Caenorhabditis elegans: one gene and its partners. The protein of the gene in region 2 interacts with the protein of the main gene of each other region in a pairwise test. Each region holds a gene or a part of one and is shown on either strand. Other genes may lie near its edges.

The links.
Region 1: the proteins of tac-1 (region 2) and zyg-9 interact in binary tests that used the Caenorhabditis elegans proteins (3 or more experiments, as listed by UniProt).
Region 3: the proteins of tac-1 (region 2) and lin-15A interact in a two-hybrid assay, tested with the Caenorhabditis elegans proteins (2 studies listed by BioGRID).
Region 4: the proteins of tac-1 (region 2) and efa-6 interact in a two-hybrid assay, tested with the Caenorhabditis elegans proteins (one study listed by BioGRID).

Annotation. Positions count from the first base shown.
Region 1 is NC_003280.10:8,456,005-8,463,862, reverse strand, and holds the start of zyg-9 (Zygote defective protein 9), read right to left. Parts: upstream 6,046-7,858; 5' UTR 6,043-6,045; coding exon 5,851-6,042; intron 5,805-5,850; coding exon 4,947-5,804; intron 4,900-4,946; coding exon 4,321-4,899; intron 2,819-4,320; coding exon 2,732-2,818; intron 2,633-2,731; coding exon 2,480-2,632; intron 2,431-2,479; coding exon 1,977-2,430; intron 1,930-1,976; coding exon 1,583-1,929; intron 1,385-1,582; coding exon 872-1,384; intron 755-871; coding exon 1-754. Other genes in the region: F22B5.6 (Serpentine Receptor, class J), read left to right, coding at 7,720-7,749. UniProt on the Caenorhabditis elegans protein: Plays a major role in organizing microtubules and spindle poles during mitosis and meiosis in one-cell stage embryos. Required for default nucleus positioning in oocytes.
Region 2 is NC_003280.10:14,752,383-14,755,679, reverse strand, and holds tac-1 (Transforming acid coiled-coil-containing protein 1), read left to right. Parts: upstream 1-1,802; 5' UTR 1,803-1,804; coding exon 1,805-2,033; intron 2,034-2,096; coding exon 2,097-2,433; intron 2,434-2,485; coding exon 2,486-2,702; 3' UTR 2,703-2,789; downstream 2,790-3,297. Other genes in the region: Y54E2A.4 (Activating signal cointegrator 1 complex subunit 3), read right to left, coding at 450-647, 695-915, 975-1,011; smg-9 (Nonsense-mediated mRNA decay factor SMG9), read left to right, coding at 3,191-3,297. UniProt on the Caenorhabditis elegans protein: Involved in microtubule formation, polymerization and assembly, regulating microtubule nucleation and length. Plays a role in pronuclear migration and mitotic and meiotic spindle elongation during early embryogenesis.
Region 3 is NC_003284.9:15,730,374-15,735,911, forward strand, and holds lin-15A (Protein lin-15A), read left to right. Parts: upstream 1-1,594; 5' UTR 1,595-1,601; coding exon 1,602-1,880; intron 1,881-2,347; coding exon 2,348-2,437; intron 2,438-2,488; coding exon 2,489-2,926; intron 2,927-3,431; coding exon 3,432-3,536; intron 3,537-3,583; coding exon 3,584-3,751; intron 3,752-3,809; coding exon 3,810-4,889; 3' UTR 4,890-4,992; downstream 4,993-5,538. Other genes in the region: Protein lin-15B, read left to right, coding at 50-1,123, 1,173-1,238. UniProt on the Caenorhabditis elegans protein: Synthetic multivulva (synMuv) class A protein. SynMuv proteins are required to repress the induction of vulval development.
Region 4 is NC_003282.8:12,611,721-12,616,654, forward strand, and holds the start of efa-6 (Exchange factor for Arf-6), read right to left. Parts: upstream 3,005-4,934; 5' UTR 3,000-3,004; coding exon 2,850-2,999; intron 2,478-2,849; coding exon 2,330-2,477; intron 1,910-2,329; coding exon 1,670-1,909; intron 233-1,669; coding exon 80-232; intron 1-79. UniProt on the Caenorhabditis elegans protein: Guanine nucleotide exchange factor for arf-6. Involved in response to injury in mechanosensory neurons. Inhibits axon regrowth via microtubule dynamics, possibly by inducing axonal microtubule catastrophes.

The DNA of each region.
Region 1 (7,858 bases), 6.3 Mb from region 2:
CTCCCATTGGATTATTTTTGAGATATTCCATATACTCATTCCAAGATCGGTCACTGGATGCAATGAGAATATTCAGTTGCTCAATATGTTTAACTGCCATCGAGGTATCACGCAGAATATTGTCGATCGAAACTTGAACGCCGCTTCGCACTACAACTGCTTCATCCTCTTGTGGCATTCTGGCTTCCAATGTTCCAGGCATGATAGGATCAATTTTTCGTTCTCTCATCATTTGTAAAATCTTGTTGATCATACTGGTCAAGTGCATATGTGGTCGAGAAAGACGACGGGCAGCATCCAAGACGACGTCTCCTTGCTGAAGGATAACCCGCTCCAAATAGTTATCAACTATCAAAATGTGTGAATCGCTGATGTCCATTTTAAGTTCTGTGAGTGCACAAACGTAGAAAGCATTGAATGAGTCGACTATATCCGAGGCTCTCAGTTGAGCTCTTCTCTTTTCAAGTTCATCACACCATTTCGACGAGAGCTTCGACACAAGTTCGGTTATACCGGTGTTCATTTGAAGTGATTCAGTCATTGCCAGAATCAATCCGCACAACAGATTAGACAGCTCAACTCTGTAGATTAATCGCATTGCCAGTCGATTGAGAGATCTTGCCATTCCGTATCCGGACTCTGTGTTACCGATTTGGATGATACATCTGAGGACCGAAGAGATGATGGCTTTGACTGTGTCGGGGGACGCATTAAGTGGCTCAAGGCCGTGCTCAGTTTCGACTCCTCCCATCAACTGAAAAGATAAATTTGGATATATACATATACATGGCATGACTAAATGAAACAAAGAGAGCCAGATATATTTCGGAACTCCCCTTGATTACTATGACATATGAAAAATATAACTTACAATGAAAAGCATTTGCGTACAAGCGTCCATAGTTCCACTGACATCTCGTCCAGCATTGAATTCTTCAATCACCAAATCTAATTGAGCAGCAGATGCACGAAACACCAAATCGGCACGTCGATCAACAAGATGACGTTGTTCAGGTTGATTAAGAACATAAGTGACCTGGAACATAGCATCTTGAGCAACATCTGCAAGACTGCTCGAAATATTGTTGATGCTTCTTTGGATTTGATCAGAAGTGTCTATGGAGGAAATCGACGATGAAGAATTGGTCCGCTTCATTTGGAAGGTATTGTTTGACCAGCCATTGACAGGTTGTGGTGGAGTGATGACTTGAGTGCCATCAAGACGGCCCATGGCTGACGAAAAGACGTCGTCACGAAGTGCATAGCGAGATGAAGTTTTTGGAGGCATTGTGTCTTGTCGTATAGTGAAGGTGTCGCTTTGAACTTCTTCTGGTTCAGGTTCACGAGTACGAGATCGAGAAGCAGGACGACGAACAACCGAACCCTGAAAAACATGTAATTTTTCGTTTTCTAAAAACTGAACGAAACTTCGCGTGGGTATCGAATAGGGAATCACTACTAACTCCAAATATTTGAGACAAAAAAAAATATTATTTACTTCCAACTCGTAAGACTGTATGGCCGATTCAAGTGATCTTTCAGGGAACCTGACTCATTACGAGAAATATTTTAAACAACTAACCTGTTGTTGTGGCACTAAAATTTTGGGTCCTCCAGTTGGCGGCGAGGTGACAACACCAGATCCCGGTTTCACTCCTGTTCGTTTTATTCTTTCCTCAACCAACGACTTGTCCTTATCTGCCATTCTTCCTGCTGCTTTCCACATTTGATCACCTTCAAATTTGAAACAAGCCACGAGAACATTGATAGCAGCATTTCGGACGTTGACATCCTTGTCACCAACAAATGGAGCAACTGTTTTTTCGACTGATAACGATTTCAGCGGACTTATTCCAGCATTTGTAATGTAGTATTCAATGACTAGCAGACACTCGGAACGTTGGCGAGCGTTTTTCGACTTCAGCGCATCTGAAAATAAAAATTACTAGAACATTATTGATCTTCTTCTCTCATACCAAGTAGCATGGGTGTCATCTTGAGTGGACCGACAACATCTGAAAGTACATTGACAATATCCCTGACAGAAGTTCTCATATTGTCTTTGGCTTCTCCTGTCTTCAATAACAAGTATGGAACAAATGCAGACACCTCTTCTTGTGACATTGGAGTTTCTGTATCCCGAATTAGCTCCACAATAACTTTGCACAATTCCAAAACTTTGATAAGTGCGGCCGGGTTGGTCTCGAAAAATCGCAAAGTGCACCATTTTAATAGAAGATCGCTGTTGGATAGAAGAGATCGAGGAGATGTATCGGCAAGGCGAACCAGAGAATCAAGAGCCGCAAGATGCTGCTTGAAATCTTTGTGGAAAAGTTGACTCATTAGAGACACTTTCGCTTGGTTTCCGAGCAGGGTTTGAAGTTGCGAGATATGTTCATCAGTCGGAGCTTGGAAATTCCATTTGACTAACTGCAAATTAATTAGAATGTATGATTATTAACTCATTTAAAGCAATTACTTTTAATTGCTTCTCTTCCTTGATTCGTTGCTTTTTATCCTCGTTGTCACTGAGCAAAAGTTCGGCTTTTGGTGCAACAACGGGAGGCTCGTTTTCTTCGTTCTCCTTCACGGGAACTTTCTTCTTCTTATCGCCTGGTGGTGGTTTCAGGGGCTGAAAAAAAAATAATAAAAAATTGTAAGTTTTCAGTTTTAAACGACCACACAATCGATACAAATTACTATATGGAAATAAGAACACAATTTTAATCACCTCATCCTCTTCCTCGACCACTTCCTCATCTTCCGGTTGTTTCTTCGGTGGAGCTGTTTTTTTCGGTGGTGCAGCAGCTGGCGGAGCCTAAATTTGACAACACATTCACAATAAAATTACAAATAAGCAGTACAAAAATCATCAGTGAATACTTCTAAATACTATCATTACTTATATATAAAAAAATAATTCCGTTTGTTCCATAGTTTGTAGTCTATGTAGTCTTTGTAGTCTGTGACGTCACACCCAAAGTCACTGAGAATTGTGGGCGGGGTCTGTCATCCTTCGCGGTGAGACTCATCGTGGCGAGACCCATCGTGGTGAGACCCATCGTGGCGAGACCCACCGTGGTGAGACCCGTCGTGGTGAGACCCATCGTGGTAATACCCACCGTGGTGAGACCCGTCGTGGTAAGACCCAAAATTTTGGCGGGAAATTTAAATTTTCTGTGAAAAATAATTTGGCGGGAAATTTAAATTTTCTGTGAAAAATATTTTGGCGGGAATTTTAAATGTTCTGTGAAAAATATTTTGGCGGGAAATTTAAATTTTCTGAGAAAAATATTTCGGCGAGAAATTTAAGTTTTCTGTGAAAAATATTTTTGCGGGAAATTTAAATTTTCTGAAAATTCTAAAATTCTGGAAATCTAGAATCTTCTGGAAATTTCGAAAAAATTCTCGAATGTTCCAGAACTTTCTAGAAAAATCGAGAAAATTCTGGAATGTTCCAGAACTTTGTAGAAAAATCGAGAAAATTCTGGAATGTTCCAGAACTTTCTAGAAAAATTGGGAAAAGTCTGGAATGTTCCAGAACTTTCTAGAAAAATTGGGAAAAGTCTGGAATGTTCCAGAACTTTCTAGAAAAATTGAGAAATTTCTGTAATGTTCCAGAACTTTCTAGAAAAATTGGGAAAAGTCTGGAATGTTCCAGAACTTTCTAGAAAAATTGGGAAAAGTCTGGAATGTTCCAGAACTTTCTAGAAAAATTGAGAAATTTCTGTAATGTTCCAGAACTTTCTAGAAAAATTGGGAAATTTTTGGAATGTTCCAGAACTTTCTAGAAAAATCGAGAAATTTCTGTAATGTTCCAGAACTTTCTAGAAAAATCGAGAAAATTCTGGAATGTTCCGAAAAATTGAGCTTAGAGCTTTAGAAGAGGTAGTTATTCGGGAGTTTATGGGGGATCAAGTCAAGGTACTGTAGTGTTACTATAGGGGTACTGTAGGTATACGGTAGGGTTACTGTAGTTTTGGAAAAATTGGCATTTCGTCCTTTGAAGAGGTATTGGGTTAGGAGTCGGTGGAGGATAATGTCAAGGTACTGTAGTGGTATTGTAAGGTTACTGTCTTGGTCAAAAAATAACAGAAAGTTTTCATACTGTCTGTGAATTTTTGAAACATGCATGTCGTAGAAAAATACATACATGTAACAGTGCCAGTAAACCGCGTTTTAAGTGTTTCAAGTTTTTTTCATGATGAGAAATTTTTTGAGTGATTGAAGGTATGTGTGTCAAATACTTTTAATGGTGCCAGGCGTTGCCCGCGCCGTAGGCGCGGTCAGCGGCTGGTTAATAATAATAAAATAACTCACATCTGCTTTGTGAATCGATTTGACCATTTCAGCAATCTCTGCGGGCCCAGCTTCATCCAACGCCTTCTGATGAAACTCCTTGATTTTGCTCATTTTCAGATTATCCGATGCAATATCGGCGAGAAGTTGCAGAGAAGGTTTTTCTCCAATGGCTCTCATCATTGCTCCCATTGCAGCGTATGATGCTTCACGAACTTCCGAATCCGAATCACCAGAATGTTTTATCAACGACGGGATCAGCGTCTTCAAAGTCTTCTTCGGCATGGTCTGTGAATTCAGTTTCATGAAGCATCGTTGAAGGAAAAGATCCGTTTGAGTCTTAATGCTTGGATTTGGTTTTCCGAGCGCTGCGAGTACGATTTCTCCAACTGCTTCGAGATTTGTGGTTGCAACAACTGCATCAATGCAAGCAACCAGCGGATCACGTAGAGTTGGTTTCTTCTCTTTGAACTTCTCAAAAATGATTGGAGTCACAGACACAGCAAACGGCTGGAACTTCGTACGGAGACCATTAGCAATACCAGTTATACAATTGGCCGCTAGTGCAGCCACATTGATATTTGCATCTTTCTCGAGGACCTTAATATTTGAATTTAAAATAATTTTTCAGGACAAAATACACATACCTTCTGCAATCTCTCAACGAGTGCGCCATAGTTTGCCTTTGGGTCGAGCTTCGGATTCGCTGTGATCAATTGAAGCAAACCTTCAAGCGCTTCTTTTCGTTCCTGCCATTTCTTGCTTTCGATGTTGGTATCAAAACCGTCGGGCATTTTGGAAAGTACGTCGAAAGCGTCAAGAAAATCCCAAGGATCGGCTTCCGCAACTGGAGCTCCAGATGAAACAACAGCAGTTGCTGTTCCGCCGGATGGATCTCCCGAAGCAGCACTTGCCGAAGGTGTCGAAGAAGTGGGAGCGACTGGTGGAGCATTTTTAGCTTGTTCTTCTGCGAAGCTAGCGGTTGATTTTTCAGCATATTCCCCAATCTTTTTCATTTTCCCTTCATCGGAAGAAGCATCGCCGAGGAGATTTTTAACGTTTTTGTCTCCAATGATGCGCTGAACAGCTCCTAAACCTTGAAGAGATGCCTCTCTGACATCTTGATCTGCATCGCCAGTCAATTTTCCAAACACAGGCACAACAGCTTTGATGAATCCTTTTGGTTGTTTTGCTGGAACCACCAAATCTAACTGCCGAGCCACAAAAAGTGCAGTCTGTTGCTTGATCTGAGGATTTGGTTTGGCCAGCGCCGCCAAAATGTCTTCCTGACCAGTTTCCAAAGATTGCATTGTACGGCCGACTTCATTGGAACAGTCTACAAGAGGTTCTCGGAGCATCGGCTTCTTTTCTTTCATTTTTTCGAAAATGACGGGAAGAAGTGGTCCTGCGAAAGAAGAGAATTTTGCACGTAATCCCGTTGCGAATTTTCCGATGCATTTGGCTGCAAGCGCTTGGCAATTGATGTTTGCATCTTTTGCTAGAACCTGTAAAATGAGATTGCAGAAATGACCGAAAAATATGAAAACCAACCATCTGCAGATGACCAATAAGTTCGGCATATGAAGCTTTTGTTGAAAGTCGCTCATTGTCCGTGAGTACTTTGAGAAGTGCTTCCAATGCCTCTTTTCGTTCCTGCCATTTTTTGGATTCTCGCAGCTCATCGAAGTTCGGTGGAAGTTTGGGAAGGATATCCACCTCGTCCAGATAATCCCAATTGGACATTATCTGAAAAATGACAGTTTACTACGTGCCTTGCAATAAACAAAGAAAGCGAACGAAAATAAGTTTTGAAGAGAAAGGAGATTTCAACAATAGATTTCCGGTGGAGAACGTAGAGGGAAAAAATCAATATTTTCGAACTGCGAGGGGTAATTGGGGTCACATGGAACTTTTTCGCCGCAAGCCCATTTTCGACCGATTTCGCAACCCGTCAAAAAGAAGCGCAAACAGAGAAACAGAGGCGGACGGGCCGGCTCAGTTGCACTACGCGGCAAAAAAAAAGAAAGGACAAAAAATCAATGAATTCTTTATACAACTTTTTGTTCGAGCCAAGTGAATACTAAAACACTACGCAGATAATAAATTTGATTAATTAGATAATGGAAGTGCTTCACAAAGAAACAAAATCTCAAAAAAAGGACGAAACATCTCGAACAAACGCTTAACACTGTGCGACAAACACTGAAAAGCTTAACTTGCGACGACAAATTATTTAAACAATTTAATGATGAGCTCACATGGGAACAACTGATATTCATTGAAAAAGTGCGAAAGCGAGAAGGTTTCCGTTGCGCTTTTCAAAACTATTTTCTACCGCGCGTTCGAATAAAAATGTCGTCAAGTGGCATGCTTGATACGCAACGCGCGCGTAAAACGACGGGGCTGTCAACTGCGTACTGAACAAGAAAGGAAACATTTTCTAAAAAGCTCTGTTAAATAGCGAAATTTGGTCTTAAAAATAATTAAAGCGCAACGAAGAAATGTTTATTTCAAAAATACGAATGCAAAATGAACAAGAAGTGTTTTGGAAGGGAGAATTCGCGCGCTTAAGCCATCGATCAAGGTCAATTTCAGATATGGAGACCGGGAGATGAAAATTTTTGATTTGTAACAAGACAAAAATGAGCCTACGCCTAAAAAACGCGTTTGAAACGCGAGAAAAACAGGAAATTTGGCGCCAAAAATGCTGTGCGGTCTCGACACGACAAATTTTTGATAAATGAAAAAGGTGCGCGTCTTTAAAGAGTACTGTTGTTGCAAACTTTGGTTACTGCAGATTTTCTATCGATTTCTCAAATACCGTATATTTCCTATTAGCGCTGCATCTTCAATAGTACTACAGTCTCTAATAATGTGTGTTTTTGTATATTTTTGATGGTTTCTTGTTAATTTACAAACATCATATTTATTTTCTGATAATACTGCAGTCTCTAATAGTGCTCGAAAGTTAGTGTTGTATGCAGCACGCGTAAAAAAAAGGGCCCGAAAGTTAGTGTTGCATGCAGCACGCGTTTATTAAACCTTTTTTTTTTGAATAAAAAAATCTAAATTTTAACAATTCGTGAGAAGAAGCATGAAAAACCCCTATGGTACTTTTGCTTATGTTAATTCGTGTTGTCTCTCGACGTGGATCTCACAAAAAAAACGTCCATCGTACTTCTTGGAGGCTCTTATCCTACCAACGGTTCCTGAAAGCTGGTGGCTTCTGGCGCAATATCATATAATTCACGGTGAACTCGAAGATAATATTTTGACTCTAAATAAAAATTTTCACATATTTTGTCTCATCGAAAATTCGTCTATAACACAATAACATACATATAAACATACGGTATAAAAGAAAACAATGTATCATGAAACAGTGTCAGTTGAGTCAGCGAAAAAGTCGTTCTTCTGACGATGTCGAAGAACATTCCATTTTTTGTACAAGTACGTTTTTCTTTTATTTCAAAACTAGACAACATGTTGAAAAATCATTCACAGTTTTCTTTAAAATTTCCAACGTAGGACATGACAATTGTTGTAGTATTTGATCCCA
Region 2 (3,297 bases):
AACGCGAAAGTGACGTCACTTTTTTTACTCTGGAATTCAAAAAAAATCAGTTCTTTTGACCTTTTTTTTGGCCTGATTTTGGCTTTTTGGTCTTTTTGGCCTTTTTTGCGTTTTCCGACTGTTTTATCTGGTTTTTCTTTATTTTTCGTTATGTCACAATTTTAAACAAAATTTATAAAATTTTCAGAAATTTTTCCGTAAAAAACTTGTTGAAACTCTAAAATTAGCCTAAAATCGATAATTTAATTTTTGAAAAACGTTTTTTGTGGAAAAATGTCCGAAAAATTGACAAATTATGTTCCAAATTGTAAAAAATGGAAAAAAAATAAAAAAAACAGCCAGAAAACCAAATTCAAAAAATCAAAAAAAAATTAGAAAATTTTTATAAATTTTTTCACTGTTATATTCTGCCATTTAGAGCAAATTTTTAAAATTTTCAAAACTATTACCTTCGCCTTCGCCTGCCTCGCATGCTCAACTTTCGCCAGCTCCTGGCTCTTCACCTCGAAAACTATTTTATTCCGTTTTTCGAGTATATCTCCGGCTAATTCGAACAATTCGACGCCGAGAAGATCGATGAGCTCGCCCTGTAGATCCATATCGGAACGTGTCGAGCACAACATTTGTAGAAGGTTTTGGGATATTGTCTGAAGGAAAATAGGTTAGAAACTTGATTTTTTAGCCGAAAATCAACCTCAAACGTATCTGGAAAATATATAAGCAATGTGTCAGCAATCGGCTGAAAAATGCTCCCAGAGCCCGAGGTAGAAGGCACTTGGGGTAGGGAAAGAGCTTCTGGAGCTTCTGAAAAACCTTCTTGTTCAGCTTCACAATTCGACCATTCTAGAAATTCCGATGGAAATCGAATTTGAATTTCCTGGTGGAAGCTTGCTACCCGTGATGGTGAGGGTGGATCTGAAAAAACATCTGGTAAAAATTTTTTTAATAAAAAAATGGAAAAAAAGCTAACTAACCATCTCCAATTCGTTCGATATAGTTGAGAAGATCCATTTTGTACCTAGTTTGGCAGCTGTAAAATTAGAATTAAAATTAAAATGAAAAACTATATTTTTCAAGAGAGAAGGATGTTCAAACATTGTTCAAAATTTCGCAATTTTTGAAAAATCGATTTTTTTCTGAAGTTTTAAGTTTTAATTACTTTTAATTTCTATTTTGTTTAATTGCCAAATATTTTTGTTTTTTTCTCTGTTTTAAGGTGAAAATTAATAAAAATGAACAAAATAAGGTCCTGGCCGCTTCCCTTCTCTGACCTAGCGCTTTCTAGGCCAACTGCACTTTTATTTGGCGGTTTTTTATGCAAAAGTGTATTATATTAATTTTTTTCGCAATAAAGATGTGTTTTTAATCATTAAAATAGTTTAAAATGAAGAGAAACATTGAAAATTGAAAGATAACAAAAAATGTTTTTAAAAAAATTCTACAGTACTTTTTAAAGGCGCAGTCCAATTTTTGTATTGATTTTCCCGCCACGATTACTCTTGTGGACTCTTTTTTCGTGCTTTTTTTGTTGTTGGTTATGGTTTTTACTGATTTTTTTTGAATTAAAAATTAAAAAATGACTTTTTTAATTAAAAATTTGTTTCAATTATTTTGAAACCCTCTTGTAAAGCCTTGTAAAACAAGAAAATTGAACTACAGAAGTTTTAAAGGCGCATACTAATCTTCAAAACAATTTTCCTACCACGAAAATAAATGATGACGCGGGAAAACTGAAGAATCGTTAATTTTCTCCGTTTTTCACGAAAAATGTCGGTTTTTTCTATTAAATTCATCCGATTTTCAGATGTCGCTCAACACAACCTTCACCAAAGAGGACGGAACCGAGGTCGTCATCCCATTCAACGGGTCGCAAAATGGGCATCCGGAGAACGAGGAGCCAGAGGTTGAAGAAGCCGCGGAGCCCAGTTCTTCAGTGGAGACACTGTGCGGTGCCACGAGAGGCGACATCATTGTGATGAAGCACACGACGAAGGCGCTCACAGAGTTGATCGAGCGGCTCTTGCACTCGGATGGTGAGAAGCTTTGAAAAATTGCTAAAAGAGATTTTAAGAGGAATAAAACCATATTAATTTCAGAATTCGAAGTCCGTCGCTGCTCAAACGGCCAAATCATCTCACAAGGCCGCTGCAACGGAACAACGCCAGGAAACGGCATCGGAGGCGGCGGGGCATCAAGCGAGGAGCTCGAAAAAGCGCTGAAAGATCGAGATGCCGCCCGTGCCGAAGCCGACAAGCTCCACGCCAACTACGCGACACTGTTCGCCTCGTTCAACACGGTTCGCGAAGCCGCCAACGACATCCGCGGCGAGTACGAGGACGCGAGGGACAAGCTGAAGCTCGCCGCCGCCGAAGTTGACGAGTGGCAGGCAAAGTTCCTCGCCGTCAAGGATAATGCGAATTCTGAGCTTGAGAGGTGAGTGAGAGAAAATTTAATTTGCAACATGTAAGAATATATTTCAATTCAGAGCATCCGTGGAGTACGACGATCTTCTCCGATCCCACGATGAGAACACAAAGGGACTCCGTCTGCGTGTAAAACGCCAGGAAATCGAGCTCTCCAGCAAGAACGACGAGATCAAGGTGCTCACGAACCGCGTGTCGGAGCTCTCACAGATTTGCGATCAACTTCTGAATGATGTCGACGTTTCCGATGGGATGTCCGTTATTTCGACGGATGCATAATTTATTTCTGTAAAATATAATATTTCTTCCCCCCGCCTTTTCGCTTTCCGCCTTATATTTTCTAATTGTACATGAATTTTTCAGCTTATTTATTTGTTTTCCAGATTATTTGTATGAGAAACAAGTACAAAAGGCTTCGTTTCAGTATTTTACCGAGAAAAACTACAATCTTCTAAATTTTCGCGCCAAAGATACAGCGCCCGGTCTCGACACGAAAAACATTTGCCAAATGCAAGCATGTGTGCGCCTTTAAAGTGTACTGTAATTTCCAGGCCGAATTTGTTTTGATTTTTTTAGTTCTCACTTGTTTTTCCAAACAATTTATGCGTTGTTACGAGGTTTTTGTAATAAAAGTCAATAAAATTCCTACAGTAATCTTTAAAGGCGCACACCTCTTTTCAGACTGCCGCATGGATTTTGAGCGAATTTTTTGATTAAAATGTATGCAAAACTTTCAAAATTTCTATTAAAATCTTGCAATTTTCCAGATGAAAAAAGTGGAAATTCTGAAAACATCTCGGCCATCATCTGCAGGAGGCGCTGCCCGACCCTCCACAGCGAGCCCAACTCATGGAGCACCGAAAATCGCCATCAA
Region 3 (5,538 bases), on a different chromosome or scaffold from region 2:
GTTTCCGTTTTTAAAATTGCACATTTTGAAACAAATTAATTGTTTTTAGGAATTGAAGAAACTTGGACAACAATACTTTGACTACCGCGAGCCCGAACCTGAGCCAGAGAGAAACGATGTGGATGAGCAAGAAATCATACCGAAACTCTTTCGCCAGCCACGCAAGCAAGTTCTGGAAGCTGATCAGCATGACGGAACTGTCAAGGTTATAGAGCAGGAAGATTTCAAGCTCCCAACTGTCAAACCGTCTGAAAATGAGGAATGCGACAATCCGGGCGTTTGCTGCTTCTGTTCGAAACGTGGCGACCGAGGTGGAATGCTTCGTGTCCCGAGAAGTGAGGAACGTTTGGCTAGATGGGTGGATAAGCTTGGACCAGAATTTGAAGCCCGACTTCACACCAATACGGAAAACCTAATTTGCCGAAGCCATTTCCCAGATGCAGCGTTCAGCAGTCGTGGTAGACTTTTGAAAGGAATGATTCCAGATGCTGCTCCAGAAAAAGTTGAGACCACGTATATCATTCAAGGGAACAACTTCCTCAAACTCAAAGAGCGCAAGTCTGGAACTGATAAGAATTCAGCCATTGATTTGGCGAATATGTTAAACCCCGACGGTGTTGAATATACTCAGGAAGAAGAAGAAGAAGAGGAATATGAAGAAATGTCAAGATCCCCAACGGAAGAGACTTCAGACGACGAGCCCAGTCAAGCAGCAGTTTACAACAATGCTCCAGTGATAAAACGTACCTATAGAAAGCGGGAGTTGTCAAACGAGGATGGACCTCTTAACTTGGTAACACCACCTGCTCATACTCCGAACCCAAGAGGGCGCCCAAGGAAGTATCCCAAGAATAGTGTAACACCAGAAGCTGAAAAAAGCCTCACCGACTACGACTACAATCCGGGAACATCTCAACGACGTGCACTTAAGAAAGGTTACGTACAACTCGAAGACGGAGAAATTGTCGGCGAAGATTGCGAATACGTGCCTGAAAAAACACCAAGTGGAAGATTGATTCGACAAGCTGTTGCTAGACGAAGCTTTGCTTTTGCTGATGAGGAAGAGGAGGAGGAAGAGTATGAAGAATCTCCAATTGTTAAAAAGCCCAAGATTGCTGGAAGAGTGAGTTTTTGAAAAATATATGCTTTGAATTATTTTTATATTTTTTCAGCCAGTCGGACGACCGCGCAAAGATGCTAATAAGCTGCCAACCCCCACACCACCCAGCAACGAATAAGTGGAAATATTTTCATCCACCGTTCCTGATTGTTGTTTTTATATATAATTTTTTCTCCATTGATGTTTTTGATGATTAAGTCATACGCATAGTTTTACCCTGTTACTTTGATTGCCCTTAAAATTACCACTTTTATTTTACCTATTTATTTTAATCATCATTCATCTGAAACCTCACAATGATGAGATGATCTCATCATTTTTATATTTTGTAGTTTTATATCAGTTTTATAAATGTTCACCGAAATTTGATGCCAACTGGTTTTTTTCTAATTCTTTCCAAATGGTTTCACATCACCAAATGACAATTTTCCTTTACTTTCCTATCTTGCTTATCATACACTATCACTTATTCAGATTCCTAATGTTGGCTCCAGCGGCTCCAGCTAAAGATGTTGTCTCGGCAGATGAAAAAGAAGAAATCATTGCGAAAAGAAAATTTCGAATGAAAAACGTTGATGCTATGCGAATGTCAAGCTTGGCGAACGATCGGATGGCTTTCAACAAGAAATGCAATGCCCTAGCGATGAAGTTTGTTAAAAGTGCCGGCATTGGAACGGATGCTCTGCAGCTCACATGTTTCCAGGAGCTCGTCCGGCATTTCAACCCAATTGCCGCAGTTGTTGTTGGTGTCAAAAGAGAGGTATGGCTTTTTAAGGATTTTCTCCCATTTTCTGATATATCTAGTTAAAGGTGGAGTAGCGCCAGTGGGGAAATTGTTAAAAACTACTCCTTTAGTGCCAAAAGGACCAAATATCAAAATAAAACTTTTCAAACATTTTTTGAAAATTTTTTATTTACTGTCAAAAAGTGACAATCATTCAGTGTTTGCCAATCATAATTTTGGAAGTCGACAAAAAAATGTTCTCCTACATTTAAAATGCAATTTTGTTTTGCCTACTTGTATTAAAACATTGTTGGGGTCGGAACATGCGACATTGCTGTGGATTTCCTCAAAAGCTCATATTTTTCATAGTTTTGGCAATATGCCAAAACTTTGACTGGAAATTATGAAAGATCTAAAAATTTTTGGAGTGTTTTATTATGATATTCGGTCGTTTTGAATCATGATAAGGTTGAATAAGAAGTGTTCTATCTTCAATGTTTCAGCCAAACTCCAATGTACAAGCTGAAAAAAAGACAATTCCAAAAGTCAAGACAATACAAACACCTACCCAGTCAATGGAATCTGTTCGATTGGTAAGCAGAAATGTTTGAAGATTATTCATAATAATGCGTATATGGTTTCAGCTCCAAGAGAAAAAAGCTTCAGCAACTGAAGAACAATCAGCTGAGTCTGCTTCGATCATGAAGCATTTTGCGAATACAATTCCAAACTCAACACCAACGCAAAGCGTGAAGGATGTTCTGACGGCGGCTGCAAGCAAGGGACAATTCAAAAGTAGCGCGGAAATTTTTTCACACTTTCCAAGTGAACCCAGCCCCTCGAAACCCCGTGCCACACGAGAGGGATCTCAACCGAGTGACTACACGTATTGTACCTATCTGACTCCGTGCATACTCTGCGAGAAGGCTCTTTTAATGCGAGAAAGCATTGCAATGACTGATAACGAAGCTGTGAAAGTTTTGATGGCGGCAGTGATGTCTGGCCACTTTAGAATGGCAACTGCAGAGAAAGCGATTCGTCATGAGAGGCTAAGGATGTGCTATGATCATGTTGATTTTGTAGTAAGTTGTTCAGTATTTTTTTCAAAATAGTTAAGTTTGAAAAGCTGTGAAAACTTTTCTAAAGCTGATTAGAACATAAATTCTAATTTAAAAGTTATTAATTTTATTTATAATTTTCATGGCAAAAGTTCAAAATTTTTGGTGTTTTGTTTAGTACAACCTCTATTTTATTTTATATATGTGATCGATATTAATACATTAGACTAGAAAACAAGAATTAAAGGACGATCCGTTCTTCAAGTCCTATGCACTACGGATCTGGGATTCAGGTGGTGCTCCCACTGAGTTATAATTTAAGCCACGTCCTAGCCGGGGACTGTGGCCGATAATCCTATCGTGGACTGCTCTACTTACCAATAGAGGCTGGATGAAAACCTAGGTGGTGAGGTTGGACTTGAACTTGTGACCTCCAGATTGCTAGCGGCCACCACTACCGACTGAGCTATCCTGCCCCCTTTTAGTTTAGAGATTTTAGTTTAAAAAAAACCATACACCACTTTTTCAGTACGAAATGATGTGCGACGCCTTTGAAGCTAAAACGGAAAGCGAGATCAATGAGATGCCACCGGACAGATTGATGCGTGGCCATGATATCTATAGAGCACTGAAGGTTTGATTGTCATATCTCGTTGTTCTACAACGGTGAAATGTTTTAAGAGAGTCGGCGACCTGCACAAAGGGAAGGTTACGTCGAACACTCCGCTTTACTCATTCAAGAATTCCATTAAATCTTATTACCGTAACCACGTGCCAAGGATGGTCAATGGGTCTCTCAGTAAACCGTCTCCCAAACCGTTCTCAGAGCTGGTTGCGCTTTTGCAATCGGTGAGTCTTGTGACACTTGTGAAAATTTTAAAAAAATTTAAAAAATTATTCGTTTAAGGTGCCTCCATCGACGAATCTAAATGAGTTGCTGAATCATAATCTTAGCCTCAGTGATGCTGATAAGCAAGAACTCATTCAACTCATCAATGGGAAAGATAATCGTTTCACATCTCGGAGACGGAAAATCGAGGATATTCTTGACAACAAGTTTGCTGCTGCAGCTGCAAAAGCTTATCGAGATCACAGTGAAGATGCACCTAGTGAACCGTATATTCCCAATCAAAGTGAGATGCAGAACACTGTAGAACGCAGAAAGCGAAAGCTTCATTCGCCTGAACAGGATGATGCTGGATCATCGAGTATCTCATGGAACGCAAAAAAAACGAAAACTCCAATTGACTATGTTCACCTAGCAACGCGTGTTTTGGAAGGTCATTCAATTGCCGACGAGGCGCTTTTGCACAAATCCAAAGTTTCTTATGCTCGTAATGCATTTGGTGAGAAGCCAAGCTCCCCCACTCCGCCATCTGCGCCACTAAAGTTCTGTGTTGTCAATGGAAAGAAATACTTGCGTTTTGAAAACGGAACCGGACCTCCGAAAGTTGTAGTTCAAGGGAATGTCGTTCTTCGCACTAATACTCTTAAAGACGCATTGACTACAGCGCCACGTGCACAAAACCAGCCTTCTACGTCCACAGACTCATCAAGCTCATCCGAGATGGAGGGAATACGTCAATCATTTGGGGCGCCTCAAAAGGAAGAAGAAGAAGAAGAATTAGTACCTACGCTTCTTCAAAACAAACCTACCCACGTGGAATCTTCGAGCCCCGTTGAAAAAAAACCACCAACCAAAACGAACGTAGAGAAACCAGCGGTCCGTCTAGGAAGAATGTTAACGACTGCATTTGGTTCAATGAGTTACCGAACAAGAAAATCGGTAGAGAATAAAACGGATCTCTTAAATCAGCCAACATCTGCCTCACCAAGACGCATGATTAAAGTTGTGAGAAACCGAAATCCTCACCTTGCGAAACAAGTGGCCGCCGCACCGAGTGAGCCAAAACATATTCCGCCAACGCACATGGAAAAGAAGCCGGAAGAGTTGCTCATGGATCCAAAGCCTGAGCCAATTTTTTAAACGTTCTTGATAACTTTGATTATTATCTTTTTAGTTCAATTTCATGTTTTTTTTAAACTGTTTTTTTCTCATCACAATCGATCTTATAAATATGTTACTTGTTATCAAAACTATTTCAAGAATTTCGAGTTTAGCGCATTTCGTGAGGAGGAAGTCTGAAATTAAAAGTTTTTGCAATGAATTTTTGTTCGGTCACACGGAATTTTTCAGGTTAGAAAAGTGTTTTGTGCGTGTTGGTTTTGTTGACGTCTTTTCAGAAAAAAAATTTAATGGTGTTTATTGATTGAAACCCGTATCCAAAAGATAAAACAACATACCGCAATTCCAAAAAAGAGCAAATTATGTTTGCCGGAAATGTTTAATTCCGGCCATTTGTCGATTTGCCGGAAATTTTCAATTCCGACAATTTGCCGATTTTCTGGAAGTTTTTAATTTTGGAAAGATGCCGATTTGCCGGAAATTTTCACTCCCGGCGATTTGCCGATTTGCTGGAAATTTTCGATTCCGGCCAATTGCCGGAAATTTCAGTTCCTGCGATTTGTCGGTTTTCCCGAAATTTTTAATTCCGGCAATCTGCCGATTTGCCAAAACTTTTCAATTTCGGCAATTTGCCATTTTGCCGAAAACTTTCAATTCCGGCAATTTGTCG
Region 4 (4,934 bases), on a different chromosome or scaffold from region 2:
TAGCTTTTAGTGTAAAATTTGAAAAAAAAAGCACACACAATTTCATTTTTTCTAAAAAAAATCCAGCAAAAAAGGTTACCTCCATTCGATCGAAGATGTGGTGAAAGTGTGGATATTTGTGGTGACGAATTGTACGAATGATGATGATTATCAGTTGGCATTGTGAACATTGCACTACGAAGACTTTTTGCAACGATCTCCTCGTTCGGAGATTTCATGTCGTTTGATACTACTGAACAAAAAAGTTTTCAATGTGAAAAGTGCGAAATTTATGCCATTTTAAATAATATTTAAATTAAATACGTTGATGTGTTCTTGGAAAATGTATTTTATAATTTTTTGAAAAAAATCGGCAGGAAAACTGATTTTTTTCAAAATAAGAGAGCAATATTTTCTAACAGAAATCTAGATTTTTCTTAAATATTCAAATTTCAAAAACTAAATTTATTTTGTTAGCGTTTTTCAGCTTATTTTTCAGCAACTTTTCGTTGGTTAAAATTTAAAATTAAATGTTTATAAAATCTTTAAATTTCTATTTTAAGTTTTCTAGCACTTTATAGCTCGATTTTTTCCATAAAGATCTCAAATTTCAAGCAAAAACCCCAAGTTTCAACCTAAAACCCTCTTAAATGAGTGCTAAACAACCTCTAAACGGATAAAAATGTTAGTGTGCAGTCAAGTGAGAGAACATTCAACACAACAGAAAAACACAGTACTACCGGGTGGCCTGAGGAGGAGGGTGCTAACGCAAATAAAAATGTGTGAATGGAAATTGATAGAAAAAAATGTGGTGGCGGTGGAAAAAGGATAGATAGAGAGACAGAAAACATTCCCTATTATAACTGTGCCGATCGCCTCCGGGAAAGCATTCTAGAAATGAAATTTGTTTCGGGTTTTTCTTCGAATTTTGTGCAATTCGAAGCTATTCTAAAGAGTAGAGGGACTTAAAAGAATTTTCCGATTTTTTGGCTTTCATACTTAAGTAGACTGAAAATGGCTAGAAACGGCCGAACATCATAAGGAGATTTTTCAAAATTTCAGTTTTTTGGGGGCGGAAATTTCCAAAAAAGGGCTAAATATTGCTTAAGTTTAGAATTTCGCAAAACTTTTCAGTGTCAGAGGCAGGGAATCAGTTTTTTTTTCATTTTTTGTATATTTTGGTGATCTAGTTTGTTGATTTAGGTTAGCAATTATTTTTTTAAAAAACACTTTTATTGAAAAAAAAACCATAAATTGGAAAATATATTGTTTGAATTATAAAACCTCAAGTTTTAATCCAAAAATATGGAAAAATCAGTTGTTTCGATTTTAAAACACTTTAATTTGAAAAAAATTTCAATTGTCCGTGTTTTAAGGACTAAAAACTTGGTAAGAAAATTGCAAAACAAATTGCAAACATTCTGATTTATCAGGACAAAAACATGCAATTAGTCATCAAGATCGTGAGCGTTTCTTTTTTTTGAAAAAAATTAGCCATATGTTTTTATCGGTATGTTTTAATTTCTAGAAATTTTATAAAAACAATTTTTCTGTTTAGAAAAAAGGGTTAAAAATCAATGGAAAATCGTAAAAATTGTGAGATTTCTTCTTCTTCTTTTCGAAAACTTTTTGCATCCAATTAAATCCAGATGTTTCATTTTTTTTTCGTTTAAAAATTTCAAAAGCTCACCAATAAATTGTTCTTCATCAACAACCATCACTTCATCATCATTTTCATTTGGTTTCTTCTGATTCTCTTTTTCATCAGTAGTCATCATTACAGTTTCTTCTTCACTTTCCTCTACATCAGTGCTCTCCATTCGTTCAATTGGAGCTGTTTTAAGCATTCGAATAGCTGTTGGTGAAGACTCTTCTGACGTTTTTCGTGCCAAACTACCACGTCTTTCGATTTGGCTTGTTGAAACTGGAACTTTTAGAACATTGGAATTAAAAGATAGAAAATTATGGAAAACAGTTTTTTCTAATTTTTTAGAGCTAATATTCAAGTGATTTCTATAAATTGAGCCGAATATTCCAAATTTTCAGCTTTTTTTTTATAGTTTTCAGAGTTTTCAGAGAATTTTTTCAGAAATTAAATATAAAGTTTTCAGGTAAGCTGTTCTGCTGACACTTGCACCTTTTTTAAGCTTTCAGAAAAATTTTTCACAATTTTTTTTGTATTTTTCGTCGGAACTGGAACTTCGGGCACATTATATATAACTTTTAAGCCAATTTGAGTATAAAATGCTTTTTTTTTTAATTTTGCAAAATTTCAAGCGATTTTTACGGAAATCTCAGCTTTTTTTGGAGAATTTCTCACATTTTTTTCGCAAAAGCCGTAAAGTGTTACCTGGAAGTCTTGACAGTTTCTGGGCCGCCGCTCCGTTTCGATTCATCGATGGAAACGAAACTCCCGCAGAGGCGGTGGCTCTTGACAGCTGATGTGGGTGAATGCTCGATGCAACTGTGGTACCTGGAGGCAGTTGGTCGCCGAGAAGCTGAAAAAAGAAGGGAAAAGGTTAAGAAGAAACACTTTTTTTCACTCAGGAGGGAGGGATGAAAAGATGAGGGCATTTTAAATTTATTGGAAAACCACAACTTTTATGCCTAAAAAATTTTTAAAAAAAATTTTGAAAAGAAATTTCAGTTTGAGGCCTCAAATCGCAGAGCATTATTTCAGAAAAAAAATATATTGAAAAATAGTTTTTTTTTTAATTCTTCAAAAAGGTCTTTGGAACATTTTAATGACCGAGAGCTGGAAAAATGAGAAAAGTTCAACTGTATACATTTTCCAAAAACCAAAATTTTTGCTATTTTTTGGAAGAAAAACATTTGAAATTTTTAATTTTTTCTAAAAATCAAATCCAAACCTTTGCATAAGTGCTCGAAACGTTCCGATTAAGAGAAATGAGCACATCACCGGACATTACAAAAGCCTCGGACTTTTTGACATTCCGGCGAGGGGCTCCATCAATGGTGGCCAGTGCCTCTTCGGCTCCCGACGACGCCACCTTCGCCATCACTCTGAAAACGAGATGATTGTAGAATAAAAAACGTTTGAAAAAGTATAGAAAAGGTGTCAAGAGGTATAATATTTCGATGACGAATTCAACAATGACCATCAGAGTGTTTATATAAACACGTGATGGAGGTGAGTTTATTTTCAAAATATTCACAAGCGGAAGCAACAAAAAAACACTTCAGCACCGTAAATTTATTCGAAAAGTTCCCTTTTGATTTTAGCATTAAAAAATAAAAATTTGGAGGAGAATTTGATTTTTTTATAAGAAATTCACAACTTTTCGGGCTAAAATGCTTAATTTTGGGCCACTTTCGCTAATTTTTTGTGTATTTTTTTTTCAAATTTCCTTATTTTTTAATGTAAATATTTTATAAACTAAAATGGTGTTTATTTAAGTTTTTTAGCATTGAGCATGAATAAGAGAGAAATTGATACAAGATGCTTTGCGAAAAAACACCAAAAATCGAGAATTTTAGATCAAAACTATAAAAAAATAAATGCACACTTCTTCTCACGGAGTACACGAGCTGCGTAAATCGACAGTCTCAAAGATTACGAAGTTTGAAAGTTTGTGCTGACAGTAAAAGATTTTTAGAAATTGCGATAAAATCGCTTTCTGGAAAAGCAAATTTTTCCGAATTATCTAGATTCTTACACTCAATTCGAAAAAGTACAAATCTTTTCAACAAAATCATAAAACTCTGCACAGCTGTTACCACCGGGACGACGTCACACCTCATTCGTCTCCTCCTCCTCCTCTTCCATCACCTCCCTGTTTGCCCATCAGATTGTAGTGTTGTATAATAAAATTCGAGATAGACAGAGAGAGACAGAGAGAGAGAGAGAGAGAGAGAGAGACCTGGTGTGGAACTAAACGTCCATTCCTCCCCGCTGTGCAGAAGACAACAACTGGTCGACTCCCGAAGGTGCGTTTTGAGCAATCTCGCGAAAAGCTGACAGTTGCGCGGAAGGATGGAACACATATTTCCGCCGCGCACACTGATCAGTCAGTTAACAAATATTGTCTCCAGAACGACGCACCCCAGAGAAAGTGATTAGGCGGTAAGGAGGGTTTTCACACCTCACCCCCGTATCATAAAGTTTCTACGGAAGATTAGCGTGATTTGGAGCTGAATTGTATGAAACTAGAAGCTCCAAGAAGGTTCTTGACGTTCCAAAACGTGGGAAGGTCGGAAAAGCGATACTTTGTGGAATTTGGAACGAAAAACTTATTTATGCGAGTTTGTTGCATTAAAGCTATCGAAATTTGCACAGGAATCAGCAATTATAGCGATCAACGATTTTTTCAAAGTTTTCGACAATTTCGATTTCAGAAAAATCGAGCTATACTGAAAACTTTCCAAGATAGATGACGCTAAACCAATTTCGATATAAAGCCAAGCTAAAGCAATTTTTAGCTCTCGTATGTGGTGCGAGGCTTTCCGATTAAGGTTTGATCTACAAATAATGCTGCAATTTTGCCCAAAAAATGTGACTCTTCTCCCGCATTTTTTAAAGATCTACGTAGATCAAACCGAAATGAGCCATCACGTGCTCTCGTCGGCAAAAACGAAAGTACAACGGAACGAGTATTACAACTCGAAGGCGAAGAAGAATCTCCATTGGATAATTGGTCCCTCGCAGAAAGATGAATGGACTTAGAAAACTACGGAGTACGAAACAATTTGGTCTACACCTATTGTTTCAGAATGTTTTCTGTAAAACTAGCGATTTTGTGTAAAATCGAAAGGCGAGGAGACACACAACGAAACAACTGGCAATATAAAACTCGATAAAATTGGCGAGATCCTCTTCTCTTGACCCTAATAGGCTAATCCACTTGATGCCAACACCAACCACGAATGCAAAGTTTTCGATAGAAAATGTCGAACTAACAGGTGTGCACACAAAACGGCGAACGTTTATGACATTT